Rhinolophus ferrumequinum: one gene and its partner. The protein of the gene in region 1 purifies or fractionates together with the protein of each later gene. This does not show direct contact. Links are inferred from orthologs where the notes say so. Each region holds a gene or a part of one and is shown on either strand. Other genes may lie near its edges.

Evidence for each region. Proteins that work in one complex are often made in the same cells at the same time.
Region 2: the proteins of ATP11C (region 1) and TMEM30A purify together in Homo sapiens (co-immunoprecipitation; 4 studies listed by BioGRID and IntAct, with this or other methods). This does not show direct contact. The link is inferred for Rhinolophus ferrumequinum from reciprocal best matches to the Homo sapiens genes ATP11C and TMEM30A.

The regions. Positions count from the first base shown.
Region 1 is NC_046284.1:16,423,486-16,431,102, reverse strand, and holds the start of ATP11C (phospholipid-transporting ATPase IG), read right to left. Parts: upstream 3,019-7,617; 5' UTR 2,964-3,018; intron 2,708-2,963; exon of another isoform or gene 2,569-2,707; intron 2,213-2,568; exon of another isoform or gene 2,110-2,212; 5' UTR 2,066-2,109; coding exon 2,039-2,065; intron 1-2,038. UniProt on the Homo sapiens protein: Catalytic component of a P4-ATPase flippase complex which catalyzes the hydrolysis of ATP coupled to the transport of aminophospholipids, phosphatidylserines (PS) and phosphatidylethanolamines (PE), from the outer to the inner leaflet of the plasma membrane.
Region 2 is NC_046286.1:36,111,451-36,118,521, forward strand, and holds the start of TMEM30A (cell cycle control protein 50A), read right to left. Parts: upstream 3,003-7,071; 5' UTR 2,841-3,002; coding exon 2,604-2,840; intron 1-2,603. UniProt on the Homo sapiens protein: Accessory component of a P4-ATPase flippase complex which catalyzes the hydrolysis of ATP coupled to the transport of aminophospholipids from the outer to the inner leaflet of various membranes and ensures the maintenance of asymmetric distribution of phospholipids.

The DNA of each region.
Region 1 (7,617 bases):
CCTAGGCCTAGGGCTCAGATACAACTCCTGAGAACCCTCCGGTTTACTGCACTGGTACAAATTCTCGAGACTTACCATAGTCATGGTTGTGCGGGAATATGTGAGCAGTCGGGTGTTCCAGCTGAAACAATGAGGTCAAAGCTCATTTCAGCGTGAGCTTAAGGGATTCTCTGCAGAGATCTTGGTCAGGATGCAAAGAACTGGCCTCAAACCTGCAGGCTGGCACCTCAAGAACTGCTGCAAATTCTACTGCATGCCCTGGCGTCCTGGGCCAGCAGTACTTAATTACTAGACTCTGATACAATGCAGATCACTCTTAGCAAAAGAAAAGCAAAGGAGGCTCTTAGGCCAATACTTGGATTGTTCGGTTTCAAATCCTTGGGAAAAAAAAAAAAACCCGACGATGTCAACATCTTAATTTTAAGCTAATGAATTTATTATGAACCAGAGTCCAGTTGTTTTCCACTATAAGAAAGCCATGTGAAAAGCCTACCATTTCCCCAAATATTACAATAAGATCTCTTTGTCACCTTTCCCTTTTTGTCACCCCCAAACAACACTCCAAGATCACAAGAATCTATGTGAAACAGAACTACGAAGTACAATGCTCTTTTACCTTCTCTGGTTAAATGTGAGAAACCAATTTTAGTCACTTGCTTTAGCAAAGCATCCAGTTCCTACAGATTTCAAGACCCTTGACATGTATGATCTAGTGCTCTGTGCCACAGGTAACCTGCTCCAATTTCATAAGACATGTTTCTGGGTGAGGTGAACGTTTAGAAAAACATTAACGCAGCACTCTTGTGATAATATCCTAAAGAGGGATGTACAATTCTTTCTTTTAGCCAGGGTACATTTGTGAAAGTTTCCAATGCAGAAAAAACGAGAGCAAAACCATCCAACGCATGCAAAACGTCAGCAATGCTTTGATAAGGAATAATCGGATGAAAAGACCCAAATCGACAAGTTCTCCAACCCATATTGTGAAGGGTTGGGGGAGCGCACAGCACTCAACCATTTTCCCTAACGACAGAAAAATCTAAACTTACAGATGAACCCTTTCTTTCACATCACTGGAAGCAATAAAATCCTATTCCCGCCACCTCATCTTGCAATTAAGGAAGTTACGACAAATAGCAGCGTAGAAGTCATGGTCCCTGTTTTGCTCTATTATTAACGTACCCTCTTACGAGTAAAACAGGTTACTCAAAAAAGTCAGTATGCAGCAATCGCTTTTCCCTACGCTCAACTCGCACGGAAAAGACATTCCGTGTTCTGGGGACTTGGGAGGGGGGAAACGTGGACGGAGGAGTCCAGCCGCAGCCTGCCTTCCCCCAGGGGTTCAATGTCTGGGGCATTCAGGGCGCGGCGAGGCTCCAGACGCGGCTCTTGGCAGCGGCTGTGCCGCCTGCAGGCGTCTCCACGTCCATGCAACCCACCGACAATCGCCCTCGCTTTTATGTCTCAGCCCCTAAAGGTGAGCACAGGCTGGGGTCTCCAAAGTTTGCCCAGTGTCCGAACAGCAGCCGCCCGGCCGAGTCCCGGGCAAAGCTGAGTCCTGCCCTCGCCTCCGGCCCCCTCAGCCCCCAGGTCTTTTTTTGGGCCACGGATACGGGTCTACGTTTACCTCCCTGTGCTCGCAGCAGAGGAGACAAAAGAAAGCCACCTTCCTGATAATAAAACGCCATCTTCGACTAATTGACAAACCGAGGGGCCCCTAGGTCGGTCTCCCACCATCCAGCCTGAGACGGCTCCCCGTCTCAAGCGGAGTTGGGAATGGCCCCGGAAAGCTCCGCTTACATTGTCAGGAGTGTGTGCGTCTGGCTGTGGGGGGGGGGGGAGGACTCTCGAGAGCCCTACCTGCCTCCCTACCCTGGCCGCCGGGACAGCGGCGTTTCCGGGAGAATTCAAAGGGGGTACAGTGGTGGTGTCTCCCACAGATGCACTTATCTGCTCAGGAAACGTTTCTGAGGGACCCGGCGGAGGGGCTGAAGAGCCGGAGAACCGGCCCGCGTGGGGCCGCAGGGAGTGTACTTACAAAGCGATGAAAGCTCCGGCGGAACATCACGTCCAAGGCTGGGGGCGCCAAGCTGGGATCTGGCGGTCTGTCTGAGAAGGTGCCGTCCACACAACACACTGCGGCGTGCTCCCCGGCCACCCGCCGGCCGCCGCCGCCGCCCTCCTCGGCTCTGCACGTCCCCCCGCCCCCCCGCTGCGCGCGCCCTCGCCGCCCCCACCCCCCGCCGCCTCACTCACCGCCCACCCCCGCCCCGGGGGCATCAACCTTGTGGCTCCCCCTAATCTGGCGCCACACCCGCCGCCCCGCTGATCCCACAGCAGCCCGCGGAAAAGGCGAGCCCGGCGCGCAGGGGAGGGAAGGCGGAGGAGCGTTAGGCTTCTCCGGAGGGGAGGAGACGGTCCTATCTCGCCCCCGGCGCCGGGCTCGGCCCCCGCGGTCTCCACTCTGCCCCCTGGCTGTGCCACCGCCCGCCCTCTCCCCCAGGCAGCCCGCGTGCTTCCGCCCCACTCCGGGCACGGGAGGACTCTCGCAGGCACCCCGCGCCTCACCTCGCCTCAGCCGGGGACTACCTCCCCGGCTCGGTCGGGAGTCCCAGCCTCCCCTGCCCCGGCCCTAACTCCTCTGCGGCGCCGCTTCGGTCACAATCCCTCCTCAGTCCGCCGCGGCCGTGCCGCCCCGCGCTTTCGTCCCGCACCCGGGCTGGGGAGCCACGGTGCCGCCCACCGGCCAGCCCCAAGCCCACGAGGCAGCCAGGCTGTGGGCGAAGAGTGAGAACGGCAGGACACGGTGGAGACACCAGCGCGGGCGGGGCAAGGGAACTAGTTATGAAAGCCGCCCCCTCCTCATCTGGAAAGGCGGGGGTCTCCCGACTGCCCTCGCCTCGCTCCTTTCCCACCTACGCGTCTGTCCCTCCTCTGGTTCTTTTTCTCGTCCTGCCTCTCACCTAAGCCGCCTTACTTCCACTTTCTCTCTGAGGTTGTAAAGTCAGGCTTTGTGTTGTTGCTGCTGCGCAGCGGGGCGGTATTTCCCTGCCACCCCCCGCCTCAACCCCCGCCCCTCGCCCCTCCCCCGCACTTCGCCCAGGGCATCCTGGGAGTTGTAGTCGTGCCCCTATTCCGCCCCGTACCGCGGGCCGGGAGCTCCCCCATTCGCTCGTACTGGGTTTGGTTGAAGGAGGAAGCGGCTGAGCCCGCAGGGCCGAGCCGTAGTTCTCAGAACCGGCTGGATGTGGAAGCCGGGAGCACTCTGTAGATTCCCCGCGGTGGGAAATGTCATAGGGATGAATGAGGCAAAGCCCAGAATGCTGGGAGCCTTCCCAAGGGCGCGAAAACTGTGAAACCCTCTACATGTTTGGGCTCTTAGTTTATAACTGGAATTCACGAATCTTTAAAAGCGAAACACGAAAGCTGAGTCTAGAATTGCCACGAGACTGGGCATCCCAACCCCACCTCACTCAGTTTGCACCGCCCTTTATGGCTTGCCCCAAAGCTGTTGAACTTTTCAGATTCCTCTATAAAACGTAAAGAGCCAAGTAATGGGAGTTCAGAAACTACCCGAGCCTTGTGCTCGGCCATGTTCTCCTGCCAGTTTCGAGTCGCTACATCACGGGCCTCATCCCCTCAAGTCGTGAAGGGCCTTTACTGCTGCCCATAGGCTCTTCTCCTTTTCGTCTCGGGTTCAGGTTCACTTCAACAAACCTTTACTGGACATTTTCTTTGTACCAGGCCCTGTGCTAGGGGCGGGACATGGCGAATTCTTGAAAGACCTCCCCAATAAGATGGCCGCAGGCTAGTTAAGGGATACCCACGTGCGAGAACAGCGCGTTAGAAAGTGATAGCTGCTGGAGTAGAGGTTCGGAAAATACGGCAGAGGGATAGTGCATCTGAAAAGGGGGTTGTTAAGCTTTCCTGAATGCGCTGAAGACTAAACTGGACCTTTACAAGTGGGAAGGCTTTACAAGAGCTGACAAAAGGAGGCATTACAAAGTCCAAAGTGGAGGAAGAGGTGGGTGAGAAAGTGCAGGGCAAGTTAAGAAAACGGGCACACCGCCGACGTGTAGGCGGCGTGGGCCGGGGCGGCAGGAAGGAACTAAACCCCGAAAGGATCTTCAGAAACACCCTATGAAGTTTGAACTTGATTCTGTGAGCGAGTAACCCATCCCTAATGACGTGCAAATGCAGGAGACTTAAGGTATGTTCCCAAACTGTCCTAATCGCCGAGAAGTAAAACCATACGTTCCCAGTTCTTTCCCTAATTGTGGTTCTTTCACTTTGCTCACACTTGAGGCTGTATCTAATGATTTTTTGAGATTTATGTTAAATATATATATTTATACATATACATATTAATCAGATAGTAGGATATTTTGTTTTACTGCAAAATGGATCTAAGCTTTTGCCATCTACTGTTTTAAAGATTTATTTTCAAATAGAGTTTATTTTCTGGCTTTACTTTTATTGAACACAGCAACTAATATAATATTAACTAATATTAATTAATATAATATTAACTAATATAATATTAACTCACTAATGATTTGTTGAACAGCTACTGTGTAGCAGGCCCAATTCTAGGTACTGGAATTTTGGGGTCTCATTCGTTCTAGGCATAATTCTACAATCCTTATCAATAAATGCATGCTTATCAATAAAACAGTTACTAGAAAATGAATTTAGACATTTGGTGATGCAAGTGCTTACTAGTAAATAATAAGTAATATCTTTTCATACACAATTTTGTTAAACAGATGGAAAAATGTGTTTTGCTTATGAATTCAAACAGGTCAACTTAAAAAAATCAAAGAACTGGAAATTGTTTTGCACTATTCTCTCACACACCACTGTGTGAGTATTATCTCACATGCCATTGCCATGTTGCCCAGCTAAAATCAAAGCATTTAGCATCCTCCAAGATAATAGCAGTATTGTCATATTTTCATTTGTTATTGTAATTCCACTATCTCTAGGTCCTCTTAATTTGTTTCATCACAACACCTATACGCATGGGTCCATACTAATTTGCTTGACTATAAAAATGCAATTCCACATAAATTAAAATATGCTCAGCAAAACATAAAATTTCTTGCAAGGGAATTTTTTTCCATATCCAAACTCAACCTGAAATTAGAGTTACTTTCACATCCTTTAGAGTTACTTTCCTTTGTTTTTTGGTTTTTTTAAGACAAGAAGAAATTATTTTTGTTCTTTTCAGTGCTTCTTCACAGTTTCTAAAGAAAACCCAGGTGTAGTAGAAAGCCGTTGTCAGTGACTATGAAAAGCAGACCATCAGCCTGCATTTTCTTTTGGCCAACTCCATAAACAGAACTTCAAAAACTAACTTCCTCCAGCCTAAACTGTCAGAAGCTGCGGTATATAACACAAACTCCTGTGGTGTATCAGCTGACTGCAGCAGAAGCCCCAGTCTCCTGCAGGCAGGAATTGTGAGGAAGCAGTCTTCTGTTCTTATTATATCTTGAGTAGATAGAATGCTTACTGTGGGATAAAGGGAAGGGAGTGTTCCTCCTTGATTTTTTTAAGCGTGCGGCCCCATTTCTGTGCAAGCCCCTCTTTTGACCCCCTTGTTCTTTCCCACCTTCTACCTCAACCCCTCAGAAATCTCACCATGGCAAATGGGCAGAACAACCTCTAGGATACTGGATGTAGTCCACAGTTGAGAAGGAAGGGAGCAAACTGCTTCTGGAGTCAGTCAGTTGATCAGCAATTTCGGGATCCAGCGGAAAGGAATGATGAAAAGGAGGCACCTCCTCCACCTAATACTAAAAAAGGAAGGAAAAAAATTGAACCTGTTATATCAGCATCTAAATCACTGCCATCAGCAAGTTGGAGAAATTCAACTGTCTCTGCAGAGCTTTCAAATATACCTTAGGAGACTACCCTTTGCCCACTTGAAATTTCTTTCTCCCTTCCAAGGCTGGCCTTAATGTTTATTCAAGACCAGTTTTACCCACATCTTCCTAATTATTGGCCCTCTCCAATTCATTCTTTACAATGCAACCACAGAAGTCTTTGGAAGATGAATCAGATCCAGTCACTCCTCTGCTTATGACTTTTCAGTAGCTTCTCATTGCTGTTAGGATAAGTCCCAAATCTTGCTTTACTATCATCTGCAAGGCCCTGAATTCTCTGACCCCTGCCTTCCTCTCTAGCCTCGGGTGGGCCTACTCTCCCCCTCACTCACCAAACTCCACCCCACTGAACACCTTTCATCCCTTGAGTTCCCAAAACTCCTTCTCCCCTGACAGTTTTTGCACTTGCAACCATGTCTGTTGGAATGCTTGCACAAGGTCTTTGCTATTTATCTTTCAGATCTAGCTTAAATGTCACTTTGTCAGGTGAGATCAGGGCTCTCTCTCATAGTGCTCCACATAGCTGTATTAATTACATTGAGGATACTGACAGGTGAGATTAGTAATCATGGAGGACAGCAGAAGTCCAAGGGGATTATGGATGATCTAATATTGTTTTACTTTTCAAAAAGAGGAAGTTGGTATAGTCTAGTAATCATGATATCAAAGGCAGACGAGATTCTAGAACCGATGATAAAAAGGATGGGATATTTCATTACAGTGGAAGAGAAGAGGCAATCACTAGGAACCATAGTGAATTCATTAAGGTATAGTTTGGAATTCAAGATTCTGAGAAAATGATTTCTTTTTTCTTTTTTTTAAATTAAAGTTTATTGGGGTGACAATTGTTAGTAAAATTACATAGATTTCAGGTGTACAATTCTGTATTACATCATCTATAAATCCCATTGTGTGTTCACCACCCAGAGTCAGTTCTCCTTCCATCACCATATATTTGATCCCCCTTACCCTCATCTCCCATCCCCCTCCCCCTAGAAAATGATTTCTAATTCAGAATTCTACATCCTCCCAAACTATATTGGGAGGATAGAGACGAGGTTAGAGAGGTTATGGCATAAGAAGACTAAATCTTTATCTTCCATAATAAGAAGTCATTAAGTTAAAAGATACCAGTATAGTTATATTACTTAGCAATAAAGAAGTAAATACCAGAAGAAACAACATTTTTAAATAATGAAAAAGACTTCTAGGAGCATAAATTGAGAATGAGAAAGAATGGGATAAGGGTCTTCTATCTTTTCTCTCAATAAGTCTTATAACTGACTTTTCAAGTATGTACATGTATTATTTTCATAAAAATAAAAATTAGTTTGAAAATACAAATAGCATTTGGACATGCAGACAGGAAGTTGGAGAGTGTTCTAACCAAGAGAAATGGCAAAGATATGGAGGTGAAAATGTTCCAATAGATGGTAAGTGGACCTGCCTACGGGAGCAATGGGTCCATGTTGAGGAGTAGTAAATGATATAAAATGTCAACCTCCTTTCTTAGGAAGCCACTGGAATATGCATTCCATCATATGAGAGAGTAAACCAAGAAACACGAAGACATGAGACCCAGAGAACGGGATGAACATAAAAGAGAGGTGAAGGGAATTCTCCAGCTGATAATGAAAGACAGTTCAAGGTAAACAGCTGTGGGGCGTACCTAGAAAGCAGCCACGCCAGAGGAGAGTAGGAAGATGGAAGGATACAGGAGGGATGTCTCTAG
Region 2 (7,071 bases), on another chromosome or scaffold:
TCTTAGAGATCATCTACAGATGACCTTTTGGTTCTTCTAGTAAAAAAAAAAAGCATTCAAAAATATGCCTAAGATCACAACAGAGGTGGGACTTCTACTCTAATGCCTTGACTTTTAACTTCAGTGTCCTTTTAACCAGAACAAGCTGCAGCAGGCTCTTTAGGCCACTTGAAATCAGAAGCATATACATGAGAACTAAAGAAATTTCCACTTTACCAACTTCTTAGTGTGAAGAACATTATTTTATTTCAAAACCCAAAAGTTTTAAAGAAAGTAAATATTTATTTTCATAGTATAGTAAATATTAACAGGTGAGTTTTGATACTACCCATCATATAAAATTCCAAATTATTGCTACTTTCACCTCAGTATCTTGAGAAGTTGAAATAAGATGATCAAATTTTTGATGTTAAATTATTTTCTTCTACTTAACTACTAACACTGCAGTAAGAATCTAATGTAGTGTGAAAGCTTAAGGTTGAGAATAAAGACATCTGGTTTGGGTTTCTGCCTCAATTTTACAATATTCTTCTAGCTTACTAGTAAGTATCAATCTCTCTGGCGCCATTTCTCATCTCCTGATTAGGAATCATCATACCTATTTATCGTACAAACTTAATACCAGGAATCTTAGCTATATTGTTTCTAATTCTCACATTTTAAAAGATAGGCATGGGCCGGCCAGTGGCTCAGGCGGAGCTGGTTAGAGCTCCGTGCTCCTAACTCCGAAGGCTGCCGGTTCGATTCCCACACAGGCCAGTAGGCTCTCAACCACAAGGTTGCCGGTTCAATTCCTCGAGTCCCACAAGGGATGGTGGGCTCTGCCCCCTGCAACTAAGATTGAACATGGCACCTTGAGCTGAGCTGCCGCTGAGCTCCCTAATGGCTCAGTTGGTTGGAGCGTGTCCTCTCAACCACAAGGTTGCTGGTTCGACTCCCGCAAGGGATGGTGGGCTGTGCCCCCTGCAACTAGCAACGGCAACTGGACCTGGAGCTGAGCTGCGCCCTCCACAACTGAGACTGAAAGAAAAGCTGACCGGCACCCTCCACAACTAAGATTGAAAGGACAACAACCTTGACTTGGAAAAAAGTCCTGGAAGTACACACTGTTCCCCAATAAAGTCCTGTTCCCCTTCCCCAATTAAAAAAAAAAAAAAAAATCTTAAAAAAAAAATAAAAGATAGGCATTATTTACGTATTTTACAGGTAAGAAAACTGAGGCTCAGAGAGATTAAGTTTTCCAAGAAACTGAGCTAGTTAGTGGCAAAGCTGGAATTTAAACCTAGCTCTGCGTGACCCCAACCTAGAGCCCACGGTACTTGCAATACATCACTTTACTCATATGTGAGATCCTAGTGTGGCTGGGAGAACAAGTACTACATTTGAAGAACTATTAGGGAGACACAAAAGATAAAGCAAATAAAAATACATGCTGAAAAAACATACTGTGACACTTTCTCTAGTTATTACACTGAAAACTAATTTTTAGTAAAAGATTTAAAAGCAATGATATTAGTGTTATTAACACAGAAGTGAGCACTGTAAAAAATTAAAAAATATATATTTTACTTTGAAAAGTAACACTGTAAGTTAAACTGGAAACAGGTATCTTTACACCTATACCTGTAGTCAAAATAAACTTACTCTGAAAGCCCCATTAAATCACATGCAGACGCTTAAAAGGACTTAATAGGACTAGAGGGAAAAATGATGTACTCTGAGAAAACAGAAGAAATCAAGAGACCTTGGTACCAGTTACTGCCCTTTCAAACAGATAAAAATACCCTCAGATATTCAGAAAAAGAGCAGATCTTTATCGTGTCTTCTATCAGTAAACTGTTCTGTAAACAATGTACAACTTATTCTCTCCGTGTGGTCACTGACTTTTTTTAAAAAAAGTTTAAAATCTAGGGGGAAAAAGAAATCGAGGGTGAATGCAGGGCATGGTTATTAATAAACACAGCCTAAAAGCAAAACCGGAATAGAAGATTCAAGTTACCTTTTTACCTATATCATACCCTACAACTAAAAACATCAATTAACTCAAAATAAAAGGTAACTGTGCAAACTTCGGTCATTTGTCCTAACATGTGACCTGGTAAGATACGACAACTTCTTTAGATAAAAATCACCAATACTTCTACGACTCTCGGTCCTTTCCCCAACAATGGCCAAGGTGTTAATCTGCGTTCTAGGAAGTCCCAACACAGATAATGACACTGACCACGTCCCTTCTCCCGCAGTAATATCTAGATATAACTTCTTTTTTTTCCACCTCCTTTTCTCTCTTCTCTCTCTCTCTTAACCTCCGTTGGAGGTAAAAATCTCCAGAGCCACACAAACCGCCTATTAAGGGGCGTTCTTTATCTGACCCACCCTCTGTATTAAACATTCATTTCGTCTCTAACCATGTAAATCGCGAGAGGAAGCTCGGACAAAACTGCAAATTCAGAAAGCCCGCAGAAAGAAGACACTGAGGAAGAGAGAAAGCGTGAGGGAGGTGAAGCCCGGAGGTCAACCTCCAGAGAGCTGAGGAAGAAGTGGGCAGGCCAGGACCCAGCGCCCAAGCGGCGCCAATTGCCACCGCCGCTCCCTCCCCTCACCTCGATCTCGCGGATGTTGTTTGAGGTGACGAAGATGCCAATGCCAATGGGGATGAATATGAGGCCGATGATGAAGAAGGTAGGTAGCACCGTGCCAGCCGTCAGGATGGGCTGCCAAGCCGGCAACCTTTGCTGTTTGAAGGCCGTATTATCCGGCCTCCGGTTCTTAGCGGTGCCCCCAGGAGCACACGCGGGCCCACCATCTACTTCATCCTTCGCGTTATAGTTCATCGCCATTGCCCCCCGGGCGCGGCTCCGCGACGCGCGCAAGTGGACCGCCCAGGGGACCCGTCTGCTGACCCTGAAAGAAGACGCGCAGGCGTCGCTGCCGCCGCCACCTCTAAAGTAAAGGCGGAAGAGGCGGGACACCCTTCCGCAGACGGGCGCTGACCGGAAGTTGGAGTCGGCTGGGGACGCCCCAGGGAGGGGGAGGAGGGAGGAAACTGAGGGACACGGGGAGGGACATAAGAGGGAGGGAAAAGGCGGACGCACGAGGGTCATCTGCCCTGTGACGACAAAGGGTCAAACCCCGGAGCGTGAAGCTACGACAGCGCATGCGCAGGCTTTGAGGGCGAAAAGGGCGGGGCGCCTGCGCGGCAGGCGCGTCTGCGCTCCACTTGCCTAAAGTTCTGTTAGCTCACACCTGTCTGCGGCTCCGGTTATCCTGGTGACGGCCGATCTGAGGCTCAGGTCTGATCCGCCCGGCCCGGACTACCCTAGTTAGCCCTGGAGCTGCTGACAAAGATGTCTTTCTAGTGGCTTCGGCGCCAGACAGGTTTTTGTTTTACCGCGTAGCCCTCTCTGAAGGGAATCGTAGTATTTAAAAGACCACACCAAAGTTGCTTGAACCTGGTATGATTGTAGTATTTCCTTGGGTTATAAAACCGCGAGTTTCTCTAATTAAAGTAAATCGTCATTCAAGGTACAAATACAAACATTAAGTGAGATGCGTGATGGGTGACCCTTTGGTCCCAAAGTAAAAATAAATACGTGACTTGCCCAAAGTAAACATAAATACGTGACTTGGTTAACCCTATTATTTTGACGCTACTTGAGCTATTATCACTTGTCTATGTTCCATTAATGGTCTTCATGTTACATTTTACCTTCTTTTCTGTGTCGTTTCTTTTTTGTGCAGATATAAGAAGTCTTGTAATTAGCTGTAGCTCTTTATTTTACAGATTACAAGAAAAAAGCTTCACATTATGGCATTACTATAAAATGAGATACTATGCAGACACTTTAAAACTGCCAAGTATTTAATGACCGAAGGAAATATTCATGATATAAAAAGTAAGTAAATCTTGATACCAAGGTAGTATTGGTATATAGTATCAAGCCTACCTAAGAAGTAAATAGTGGTAATCTCCATTGACCAGATGGAGAATGTTTTTTCTCTACTTCTTTGCACTTTTTCTGCATTTTCCAAAGTTTCTACAATAAGCATATATTTGTAAAAAAAATTGTTTTGATTATGTACAATCCACATTATATTGGCATCTTTGAAATCCAGACCAGAGAGTAAGTCACATCATCTGAAAACAAATACCCAAAGTTTATTTTCTTTTTCATAAGATTTTATTGGGGAAGGGGAACAGGACTTTATTGGGGAACAGTGTGTACTTCCAGGACTTTTTTCCAAGTCAAGTTGTTGTCCTTTCAATCTTAGTTGTGGAGGGTGTCATTCAGCTTCAAGTTGTTGTCCTTTCAGTCTTAGTTGTGGAGGGCACAGCTCAGCTCCAGTTGCCCTTACTAGTTGCAGGGGGCACAACCCACCATCCCTTGCCGGAGTCGAACTGGCAACCTTATGGTTGAGAGGATGCGCTCCAACCAACTGAGCCACCGGGGAGCTCAGGGGAGCTCACCTCAAAGTGCGGTGTTCAATCTTAGTTGCAGAGGGCAGAGCCCAAGATCCCTTGCGGGACTCAAGGAATTGAACTGGCAACCTTGTGGTTGAGAGCCCGCTGGCCCATGTGGGAATTGAACCGGCAGCCTTCAGAGTTAGGAGCATGAAGCTCTAACCGCCTGAGCCACCGGGCTGGCCCCGAGTTTATTTTCTTTTAGGCTTTGTCGGAAGTCATACCTTTTGGAAGTAATCCAAGAAAAGGGAAACGAAAAGAGTGCTTGGGCCTTGTAATTTACAATTAAATGTATTTTCAAAATGACTACAAGTCTCAAGATGTGAGCCAATCGAATATTAATCTGGTAGATAACTAACTTGCTTGGTTTTGTTCTTACATGACATCCTTATCTCTCAAATTCTTAGTACTGGTAATATAAGTAGGTCTATATTTTGTTTTGAGCCATGTAAGTTTATTTTTAAATGGAAAATATTCTATGTTAGGAATTATATTTCAAATGGAAAGTTATATCTATGTAAGAATATTTTCAAATGGAAAATATTCATCTATCACAGTTAATGGAGAAGGTATGGGCTTCTTTTATTTTGCTAAATTCTATTGGTTAGTAAAAATGTATATAACAGTATTGGGCATAATGCAAAAGTATAAAGATTGAGGCAAGTTTTATCTCCCCATTTCTGCCTGTATCATCAAACCCACTAAATGTGATAGTTCCTTAAGTGATTTGCTATTCCAACATTCTATGTAAGTATGGAGTTATTTTGCCTTCCAGTTGTTTTTTTTTTTTTTTAACTGATCTAAGTGATTGTGATATATTTATCTGCTTTCTTTTTCTTTTTGTTCATAGGAAAGATTAACTTCTTGTTTCTTTTTTCTTAGTAGGAATTCCATTTTGACTGAAACATAGACTTTCCGAACAAGCTTGAATCTAAAGCTTTCTTAGATTCTTATCTAAAACTTAATTTTCAGATGAGAGCCAAATGGATGAAATGACGTTTCAAAATCTCTTGATGTCCTTCCAATTCCTTTCCCTCTACTGTACTCTGCCATCACAACATGCTGCTTTACCCAGTAACATTTTTTTCACATCCACATCATTAGCTTGAGGACTCAGAATTTTATGATTTCATTGGTCATACATTGTTTTATGATAGTTCTTAGGTATTTTTTCATTTAATCTTATGAAGTAGGAATTTTAAAAGGGAAATGTTCAGTATTTCTGGGGCAACAAAAGAGAGTGGTTGTTCTCACAATGGATTTCCACCATATGCATTTTTAAACTGTGGTTGCTAGGAGTGACATGTGCTCACGCGTGTGCTGATGACACATTTAGATAACATTTGTATTGTTTAAATGATTCTTCATTCACTGATTCCTGTTTTTAAAAAAATGTGCTTAATTACATTGATTAATGCTGACTACCAGGTCAATATAGTAAGTGTGCAATGAATGCCTGAGCCTAATAGGGTTTCCAAGCGGGAATTCTCACCCGTTCTCAGGAATTTTTTTCACTTTCCTGTTCGCGAATCCCGAGAAAAGTTGGTTGGGAAATTGGGAAAATCGGCTCCTTGAACCCAGGTGGTTGGTAATATCAGCCGTCACTTTCTGGAAATGATTCATCGTGGAGAACAGAAAACAGTTTATATCTCGGGATTCTGGAATGGGAAAGCAAAAAAAAAAATCCTGAGAACAGGCGGGAATTCCCACCTGGAAACCCTACTAAATATGAAAGTAAATCCAAAATAATAGGCAGATACAAACCCAACAATCTGAAAAGATGTAGATAAATAACTTTAGAGGAGAAGTTTCATAACAAATTTTAATTTTTTTAGTTCAGTTGCTGTTTTCAAGCTATTGAACGAGGTAACCAGAAACATTGGGGGGAAAAATGAATAACTGAGTAACTTAAGGAATTAAGAAGAGGAAACTGAAACTGCTCTTTTTACTGTTTGGCCAACATGGCACATAGATTTGCTTATTAGACTCCTTTGAGTATTTGGTGCTGCTTTAGCTCTCTAGCTTCTAACCATATTCAAACCATTTCATTTATATGTGTAGTTTAATAATGTTTAGAAAATTGAAGAGAGCTGAGAAATGTGCCATAGTTTTTACCAGCATGAATTTCAGAGAAAATTCTTAGGGACTGGAAATGGTTTGAATTGTTTTCAGTGACTGGGTAATATTTTGCTTGTTTCTTTCTAGACGGGAAAAAAAAAATTCTATTTAGTTGATCGTGGCAGCTTACTTAGAGAAGTTTGAGGGGATTAAATAATATTCATTTTTAATTGAGGCGATATTTAAGAAAAGAGTGACATAGAATTTGTATAATAAATTTATTTTCTTGTACTTATTACATCAGAGATTAATTCAAACTGATTTTGAAAAATTCTTTTAAAGTTGACCTTTTCCTGATTTTCATGTATACGTATTTATTAAACTTTTACTTAGGCACTTAAGAAAATCCTTTTGTTCTGACATTGAGAGAGTGATAAGCCTGAGATCATTGGTGTTGTGATGAAATATTTTGCAACTTTATGAATGACCACAGTCAGTAATCAGAAATGCAAGTCAAACATGATATTTAAATGATTATTCTCATTAGAGGA